Drosophila melanogaster: one gene and its partner. The protein of the gene in region 1 interacts with the protein of each later gene in a biochemical or structural test. Each region holds a gene or a part of one and is shown on either strand. Other genes may lie near its edges.

What was found. Proteins that work in one complex are often made in the same cells at the same time.
Region 2: of the proteins of Thor (region 1) and Lrrk, one has a biochemical effect on the other in vitro, tested with the Drosophila melanogaster proteins (2 studies listed by BioGRID).

The regions. Positions count from the first base shown.
Region 1 is NT_033779.5:3,476,728-3,480,141, forward strand, and holds Thor (thor), read left to right. Parts: upstream 1-1,706; 5' UTR 1,707-1,888; coding exon 1,889-2,033; intron 2,034-2,457; coding exon 2,458-2,666; 3' UTR 2,667-2,885; downstream 2,886-3,414. UniProt on the Drosophila melanogaster protein: Repressor of translation initiation that regulates eIF4E1 activity by preventing its assembly into the eIF4F complex. Hypophosphorylated form competes with eIF4G1 and strongly binds to eIF4E1, leading to repress translation.
Region 2 is NT_033777.3:20,633,900-20,638,520, forward strand, and holds the start of Lrrk (Leucine-rich repeat kinase), read left to right. Parts: upstream 1-1,580; 5' UTR 1,581-1,738; coding exon 1,739-1,757; intron 1,758-1,916; coding exon 1,917-2,189; intron 2,190-2,199; exon of another isoform or gene 2,200-2,288; coding exon of another isoform or gene 2,289-2,376; intron 2,377-2,441; coding exon 2,442-2,601; intron 2,602-2,663; coding exon 2,664-3,923; intron 3,924-3,979; coding exon 3,980-4,621.

The DNA.
Region 1 (3,414 bases):
AGGTGGAAAATGCGGAGAAGAGCCGCTCTCTCACCCAAAAAATAAAATATATAAACATATCAGCCGGCACGTAGGGCGGTTTCTATGCTGTGGACTACGTGCTAGATGACACGGCAAAATTGTCCGTGTTTTTCGTGTTCTGGCTCCCTTGTTTACCGTTTACTACTTTGGGGGTCAGTTGGCACCCAGCTAACTCCCACCCCCATCTAGTGTAATTGATGGATTTGGGTCATGCTTTCCCCAATTCAAATATGCTCCTCGTCACATGGAAATCTACTTTCAAGGTCTGTCAAGCTTCCCCATTTAGCCATCATAAATATTAGCACGCTTAAGTATCGACCTTGTGCAGATTTCTAGGTGGGCGCCATCCCCTGTCCCACATCGAGATCATGATCGCCGCAGATCAACACACGTGGCCACCTTTTGTCAACCCCATATCCCTCGGAATGGCCCGTGGCCAATATCCGAATTACGTCGAATCGTGGGCGCCAACGTAGGCAAAAGTTCCTGTAGCACTATTTACATGCGTCCAACGATTAAATATCGTCAACATCGCCCCCGCATAGCTAAAACCGCTCGTGCCGCTGCTTGGATCCACCCTATGCTTGCTGCGATCAGTGGGGCATATTAGTTTGATTCCAAACAAGATATTCCACCTCAAAGAACTTGGGAACTAATAAGGGTTCGATCACCAAATTTGGTGATATGATATATGTATTTCTTTAGATATGTGCGCTAATATTAAACGGCTAAGAAGTCAATGTGCCAAAGAAAAGATATTAAATATGTATGTTTCATATCAGTCAAGTTAAATTTTGATATGAGCTAAGCGTACTTTTGGATTGTGCACTCCTAAATATAGAAATCACGCTAAAATTGCATATCTAAGTAAATAAAGCAAGTAAGTTATGTAAGACGTGTATCTTTTCGTGATAATTATTTCAAAACGGCTCGTGCCAGATAATAATGAACACTTTCCGCCTGAAAAAAAGTGAAATGCTGGGTATCTTTTAGCCCATAAAAACCTGCAATATCGTTGCTCAAATTGCTATGCTCCGCGAGTTCGCACATGCATAGAAGGCACTCATAGCCTACGTCACGATTGCCGGCGACGTGTCTTTATGCTAATTAATGGTATTTCGCGAAAACGAGTGCAAAATAATGGCCCCATGGAGAGAGCGGCAGTACTTCACGAAATTCTGCGGAACACCTCTTGACTCCCAGACAGCCATAGATAAGATCCCAATTGCACCTGAGTCATCATCATTTCCCTAGCAAGATCGACAATAGACTTGGTTTTTAGAAAAGAATGCGATTGGCGTTTAGTGCTGTTGGCTAACTTGTTTACCAATAATATTGCCGTGCATTAAACAATAACAAATGACCAAAGATAAACAAGAGCTCAAGGCGAGAAGCCCCTCAAGACAGCCCCCCACCATCGCTACACCCCTTATCATCTAGAACCTCCGAGGTGTGCAGGCTGCAACAAAAATAAGAACAATAGGGGAATATATTAGAATACGGCAATAACAACAAGAACCAGCCGGTTTGTCATAAACTACGCAGAAAATACACCAGATAAAAACAAAAAACATCAGCCGACCAAGCAGAATAATCAGGCGAGAGAGCAGGCGAAAGAGCGAGAAGAGAGCGAGAGAGAGTAAGAATGGGGGGGTATAAATAGAGCCACACTTCGTAATACCGCCAGCAATCGCCTAGCGAACAGCCAACGGTGAACACATAGCAGCCACACAAGCTCTATAGCTGATACAAGCAACGAAATACAAACAACGCAGTTTGTGTAAACAATCAAATTGTCGCAGCCATATCGAGTGTGCTTACACGTCCAGCGGAAAGTTTTCGAAACCAATCCAATCAATCAGCTAAGATGTCCGCTTCACCCACCGCCCGTCAAGCCATCACCCAGGCCCTGCCCATGATCACCAGGAAGGTTGTCATCTCGGATCCGATCCAGATGCCCGAGGTGTACTCCTCGACGCCCGGCGGAACCCTCTACTCCACCACTCCTGGAGGTAAGTTTCGAAAATTGGAAGCTGAGACTACATCGAGTATTATTAAGTTCCTTCCGGAAAGTGGAGTGATTTTCTTATCATTAGATATGATATCAAGATGAAATTAATCAACATATTTCGAAAACATAAACAAGTATACCGTTTCTTTCCTTTGCTCAAACAACAAACAAGCTTTTGTTTGAGTTGTGATACATTATTTTTGTAAAACTCACTCACCATTTTTTGGCTGATGAAACTGGGCCATCTCGCCGAGTCAGTCAGTTGGAAGATAATCCCGAGCACATGTTCCACAGTTCGTGACTCAGAGTAGCGCGGCAAAGAAGCGTTTACTCAGCTGGCTTATCAGTGGGGAACTTTGAATACCTTTCTGATGCAACGCAGACCACCTTGACTAATAAAAATTTCCGCTTTCCTATAATTCCAGGCACCAAACTTATCTACGAGCGGGCTTTCATGAAGAATCTCCGTGGCTCCCCATTGAGCCAAACTCCGCCGTCCAACGTGCCCAGTTGCTTGCTGAGGGGAACTCCGCGTACTCCCTTCCGCAAGTGCGTGCCCGTCCCCACGGAACTGATCAAGCAGACCAAGTCGCTGAAGATTGAGGACCAGGAACAGTTCCAACTGGATCTGTAGGGGGTGTGGCGTGTACACCGCCATGCAGCAACTGCCAAATCCAACTAGTTCTTAGATGCACCCACTAAAACCGATCTTATAAGCTTAGTGTACCCATTAACTAGATGCTAAGTTCTTAGTTCTTCCACCTTGTTTGTTCTCTCGGTCATATTGACCCCGTTACCTTGTAAAATCGTAGATCTTAAGTAAAATGCAATAAAAAAAAGGCACACATTATTTAAAAGAGAACCACACCTTCCATTGGGATTCAGTAGCTGCCAATTTACAATTATAAATTTTAATTTATGTTTGAGAAATTCAGTGCCAAATTACTTTCTTTATCGGCAATTCAACCTTGGCAGGCCACGCGTTATGTGATAGAACACTTTCCACTTCACCTTGAGTCAGTTTCGGTTTAGTAGTATTTTCGGCAGTTTGTTGAACTGTTTGAACTGTTTACGAAGAAATTTAGCGAAAGGGGGCTTTTTGGGGGGCGGTACACATGTTAGACAGCTGGAAATACCGGCCGGCTTTTTAGTTAGCCAGTCAGTCAGTGGCCCCAGCAGCGCGTGTCCCACTTATTGCAAAGATATGCATACATATTTATAATGTATCCAAAAACCGGCAAACAAACGCCACAAAAAAATAGATCTTTAAGAAACTGCGCAGTTGGGAAACGACCTCGCCTTTGGCCCCCGCCCCGCCCTTTACCATTTTTCTTATATATACAAAAGTAGTGTGCTGAGCACATGTTCGTTCAGATAGACCG
Region 2 (4,621 bases), on another chromosome or scaffold:
TTGATGCACTGTAAAACTGAGTTGGTTCTAACCGCCCTTTACCACATGGGATAAAATAGAAAAGCAGCCTCTAAAATCGTCGGTTCTTGTTAATTAAAACAAAAACGCTGACTTTTATTTAGTATGAATCACACAGTCATAAGTTGTTGGCTGGGGGTGGGAGGGGTCAACTTGAAAACAAAAACAAGAATTCAGGGTCAGCCAAGGCGACCTATGAATGCCCTTACGTGTTTTTTTTTGCAATTTTAGGCAGTTGAATGACTGAAGTAAGCAGGATTTATAACGAATTCGATATGGCCGTTGAAAGAAAAGTTTCCATAATGAAAATCTAAGCCATTAAGGCATATTTCAGAGCCAAATGTTCAAATTCCGTGACCGAACGGGTGGAGTTGATACCGCGGAAAGGGTATAAAAAAGTTACGCGGCACCGATGTCTCATCTCTAAGTCGCGATGCCACAAAAATGGAAATTGCAGACAGTCAGAAAAGTCTTGAAAAGCACACGGATTGGCAAGTTTTCATCGAAGTTTCACTTGCATTGTGGCGCAGCTCGTTTGTTTTTGTTTTTTGCTTCCATTTTGGCCAGCCCTCGCCTTTATAGCGATTTTTTTTTGGGTGTGAGCTGCGCAGTTTACGCTGCTCCTTACTTGATTCTCTGCACCGGCACCTTCAGTTGGCCTCTGTCGGCCATTCCGCGGTATTGTTATTTTTCAAACGCACCGTGCAATCGGCTCAAATTTGTGTTCGATTAAGGAATATTAAATTGTTTTTATTTGTATTGTTGAGATCGTGCTGTTAAGCGTCTGTTAACGAACACAGGGTGACTCCTGTTGAACACAGGGCGTTCTAGGCTGGCGCTGGTTAATATCGATAGTGTTTCATTCGATTGTTATATCGATATAGGTTACAGTTGGCATCAGTATTTATAAAATATACACAAATACACGGTGCTAATAAATTCTTGTTCGTAAACAGTCATAACAGGAAATTGCATGTTAAAAAAAAAATAAATAAAAATAATTAACAGTTCCTAAGAATCAAATTCTTTTAGATAAAATCATAGCATACAAAATAAAATTCAACAAAAAGTAACAGTCGATAGTGATTCACTGCTTAACTGATTTAAATAATATCGATATTACTGTTGTTGAGTTGACAAGCAGTGCAAAGTAACAGAAACGATGACCACCTTATCGCGTTTTGGTATTTATATATGTATGCTATCAGAAATGAGATATTTCAGCATCAGTTGGGATTTCAAATATTTCACTTGGGAACAAATTTTTAGATGTGTATGAATAAAAATAATAAATGCGTCTTCCAAATACTTGTTCGGCCTTGTTAAATTAATTTTAATTTATAAATTTAAGCCAATGGACATAAAAATCAATGATTTTGGGTAGATTATGATTTAGTTATTAAGCTGGCTTTAATCTTTGGAGAAAAGTACGAAGCCCCCTGCGTGCGACACTGATTAACAGCATTCACTTGCGATATTTCGGTCACACAGAGCGCTTAACAGCATATCGTGCCAAAATGAGGAGATATATTCTAAAACAGTAAGAGGTTACACTGTTTGTTGACAAAAAGGTAAACAAAGTGAAAATTTCGCAAAATGTGCAAAATAATTAAGTAAGGGTCAGTAAAAGGTGCTACTGGTTAATCGGACCATAACAACTACCCATTTAACACATACCATGCATGACTTGGATATCTCGTGAAGTACACAAACCAAAACAATGAGCGACTCCGACGAAGGTGAGATAACACAACTTTTAGTGAAATTATGCACAATATGCTAGTTTTGCGCAAATTTAGTCAGAGTGCAAATGAGCATTATACGCTTGACTATGCAAATTACCTAAGTGGTGCAATTAAAACTTCAACCAGTTGTTATTGGTTTTTCAACAACACCAGCAAGGGCACAGGGTGACATTGGTGCAATGGAAGTGGGCGCGCAAAAACTTTTTTCAAACAGCCACCCCCCACAGAAGCAACTGGTGCAACCACTGGACCATCCGACACCCACGAAGAGACAAATCAAAACAAATGCCACGCACTCACCCAATGCCACATTCTTGAACAAGTGCAACAGTTGCCGCGCTTCTTGGGCTCCGACTTGCGCAGTGCGACATAAAACGGCCTGGATCAATGACCACAAAAACGTGGCCATCGATTTTCCGCAGTTCAGTTTTTGCTAGCGGCGCGTTCGGTCATCATACCGATGCCAATTAATTTTTGGGGCTTATTCGCACCGATTTGGGTTACATAATGTCATGGAAATTCAGCATGGAACATCCCAAAACTGGAACTGAAACAGCTCTGGAAGCCTGTGACTACTTCGTGGATGAGGTCATTGAGGCATCCTCAATACGGGGTGGGAATTGGTTTATTCCAAAGGTGCTGTGTATTAGTTAACCAAGCAAAACTTATCTTTCACAGATGCCCGCGAGGAAGTGCGTCAGATCAAGCACGGGGAGCTGCGAACGGCAGTGATCTCTGGCGATGAGCGGACTGTGCGGGTGCTGCTGGCAGCTCTTGGAACTGAGCGTCAGATTATAGTCAATATGGCTCCTTCAGGAGCAAACACCCTTCTATTCCTGTGAGAAAAAGTCTTTTAGAATTAGTCCATTTTGAGCCAAACTAATATCGGTCTCGTTTTAGAGCCTGCCAGTCTGGTTACGAGAGCATTACACAGCGATTGCTGGATGCTGGAGCGGATGGTCGCTCCCATGCCGTGACCAAGTACTCACCCTTGTACGCCGCCGTCCATAGCGGTCACTTGGGCATTGCCCGACTGATGCTAGACCATTTTCCAGAACTGATCCAGCAGCCGACTGTAGAGCGCTGGCTGCCGCTGCACGCCGCCTGCATCAATGGACACATCAAGCTGCTGGAACTCCTTATCAGCTACAGTTATCCCGACTACCTCTACCAGACATATCGCGACGAGGAGGGCCAGTGGGAATGGCGGCTCCCCTTCGACGCTAACGCTCATGATGTGACGGGTCAGACGAGTCTGTATATTGCCAGCATCCTAGGAAACAAGCAGCTGGTTGGTGTGCTTCTAAAGTGGCAGCTCCATTGCCGGCGTACGTTGGGCGATTCCGCCAGCTCGGTGAGCACTCCTATTACGCCCACCAGGAAACGTATTTCATTTGGCATTCAGGCTATCATGTCCAAACTGCACATATCTGGAGAGTCAGAAGGACCCGACGACCTAGCTTCACAAGAGTCAACCGAGTGCCAACGGTGTCCCATTAACGTGAATCTGCTATGTGGAGCGGCGAGAGAAACAGCTCTGCTTGCGGCCGTTCGAGGCGGCCACCTAGACGTGGTGCAGTCTCTGCTACAGCACGGCGCAAATCCGAATATTGTAGCCAAGCCAGTTGAGGATCACAACGACCCGAAATGTTGCGAGGAAATATATGGGCTCAGTAATGTCCCCATTGCAGAGGCCTGCAAGCAAAGGTCGCTGGCTATGTTGGATCTCTTGCTTAAGCATGGAGCCCGCGACGATAATGGCACGGCCATTGGAATGGCTATTACATGCGGCGACGAGGCCATCCTGAGTCGTCTTTTGGCCCGACGAGTCCATCCGGACTCAGACTACAAGATCAACAAGAAGGGTCTTCCCACACCAGTGGAGGTGAACGTGTTTTTGCCGTCCACCAGCAACATATCTTACAGTGCTATGTTCCCCAACAATCCAACCATTATTGACTGGCACAGCATGGGCTCCAGTGTCCAGTTGTCTGTTGTAAGGGTTCCCTGGATGGTCAGCGGTGTGTTGCTGCTGAATCCTAAGCTACAGTCGCATCCGCGACTTAATGAGGTTGCTCTGACAGCTATCACGCGAATAGATTTCTCGCACAACGTTCTCACGTCAATTCCACAGGAGCTTTTCCATTTGGTTAGCCTAAGGTTAGTAAAGACAAAGTAATAAGTTTTTCAAGAATTATATTAGTCCTTCATTTAAGGTATTTAAATGTGGCGCAAAACAAGATAACCGATCTACCTGCACCAATAGGCCAGACATATGGGTGTCCGGTACTGGATGAACTCTTTCTACAAGACAACCAGTTAACTACGCTGCCAGCCGCCATCTTTCACCTGCCCGCCCTATCTATATTGGATGTTTCAAATAACAAACTGCAACAGCTTCCCTTCGACCTGTGGCGTGCACCCAAGTTGCGCGAACTTAATGTGGCCTTCAACCTATTGCGGGATCTTCCTGTGCCGCCAATGCAAACTAGCAGTTCGCTGCTGAGCCTAGACAAATTGAATCTGCAATCTTTTGAGGAGCCGCCATCAAACAAACCGCGAAATGTGACTCAGCAACGTCTCACCCATCGCAATCTATGGTCGGCTACTTTGGACATAACCGATAATGACATGAAGTGGCAGCATGAACAAGATTTAGGCGATGGAAAGACAGCTGGTGTGGGCTCCTCCCAGCTAAGTAGCTTAAATATAGCAAATAACCTCTTCACCAGTATCCCCGCTGCTTTGCCCTGTCTGGCTGTAAACCTAACACGGCTGAATATGTCATACAACAGTCTGCGTTCTATGGGACATGTAACCAGTTACCCGGCAACACTTAAGCAGTTGGATCTAAGTCA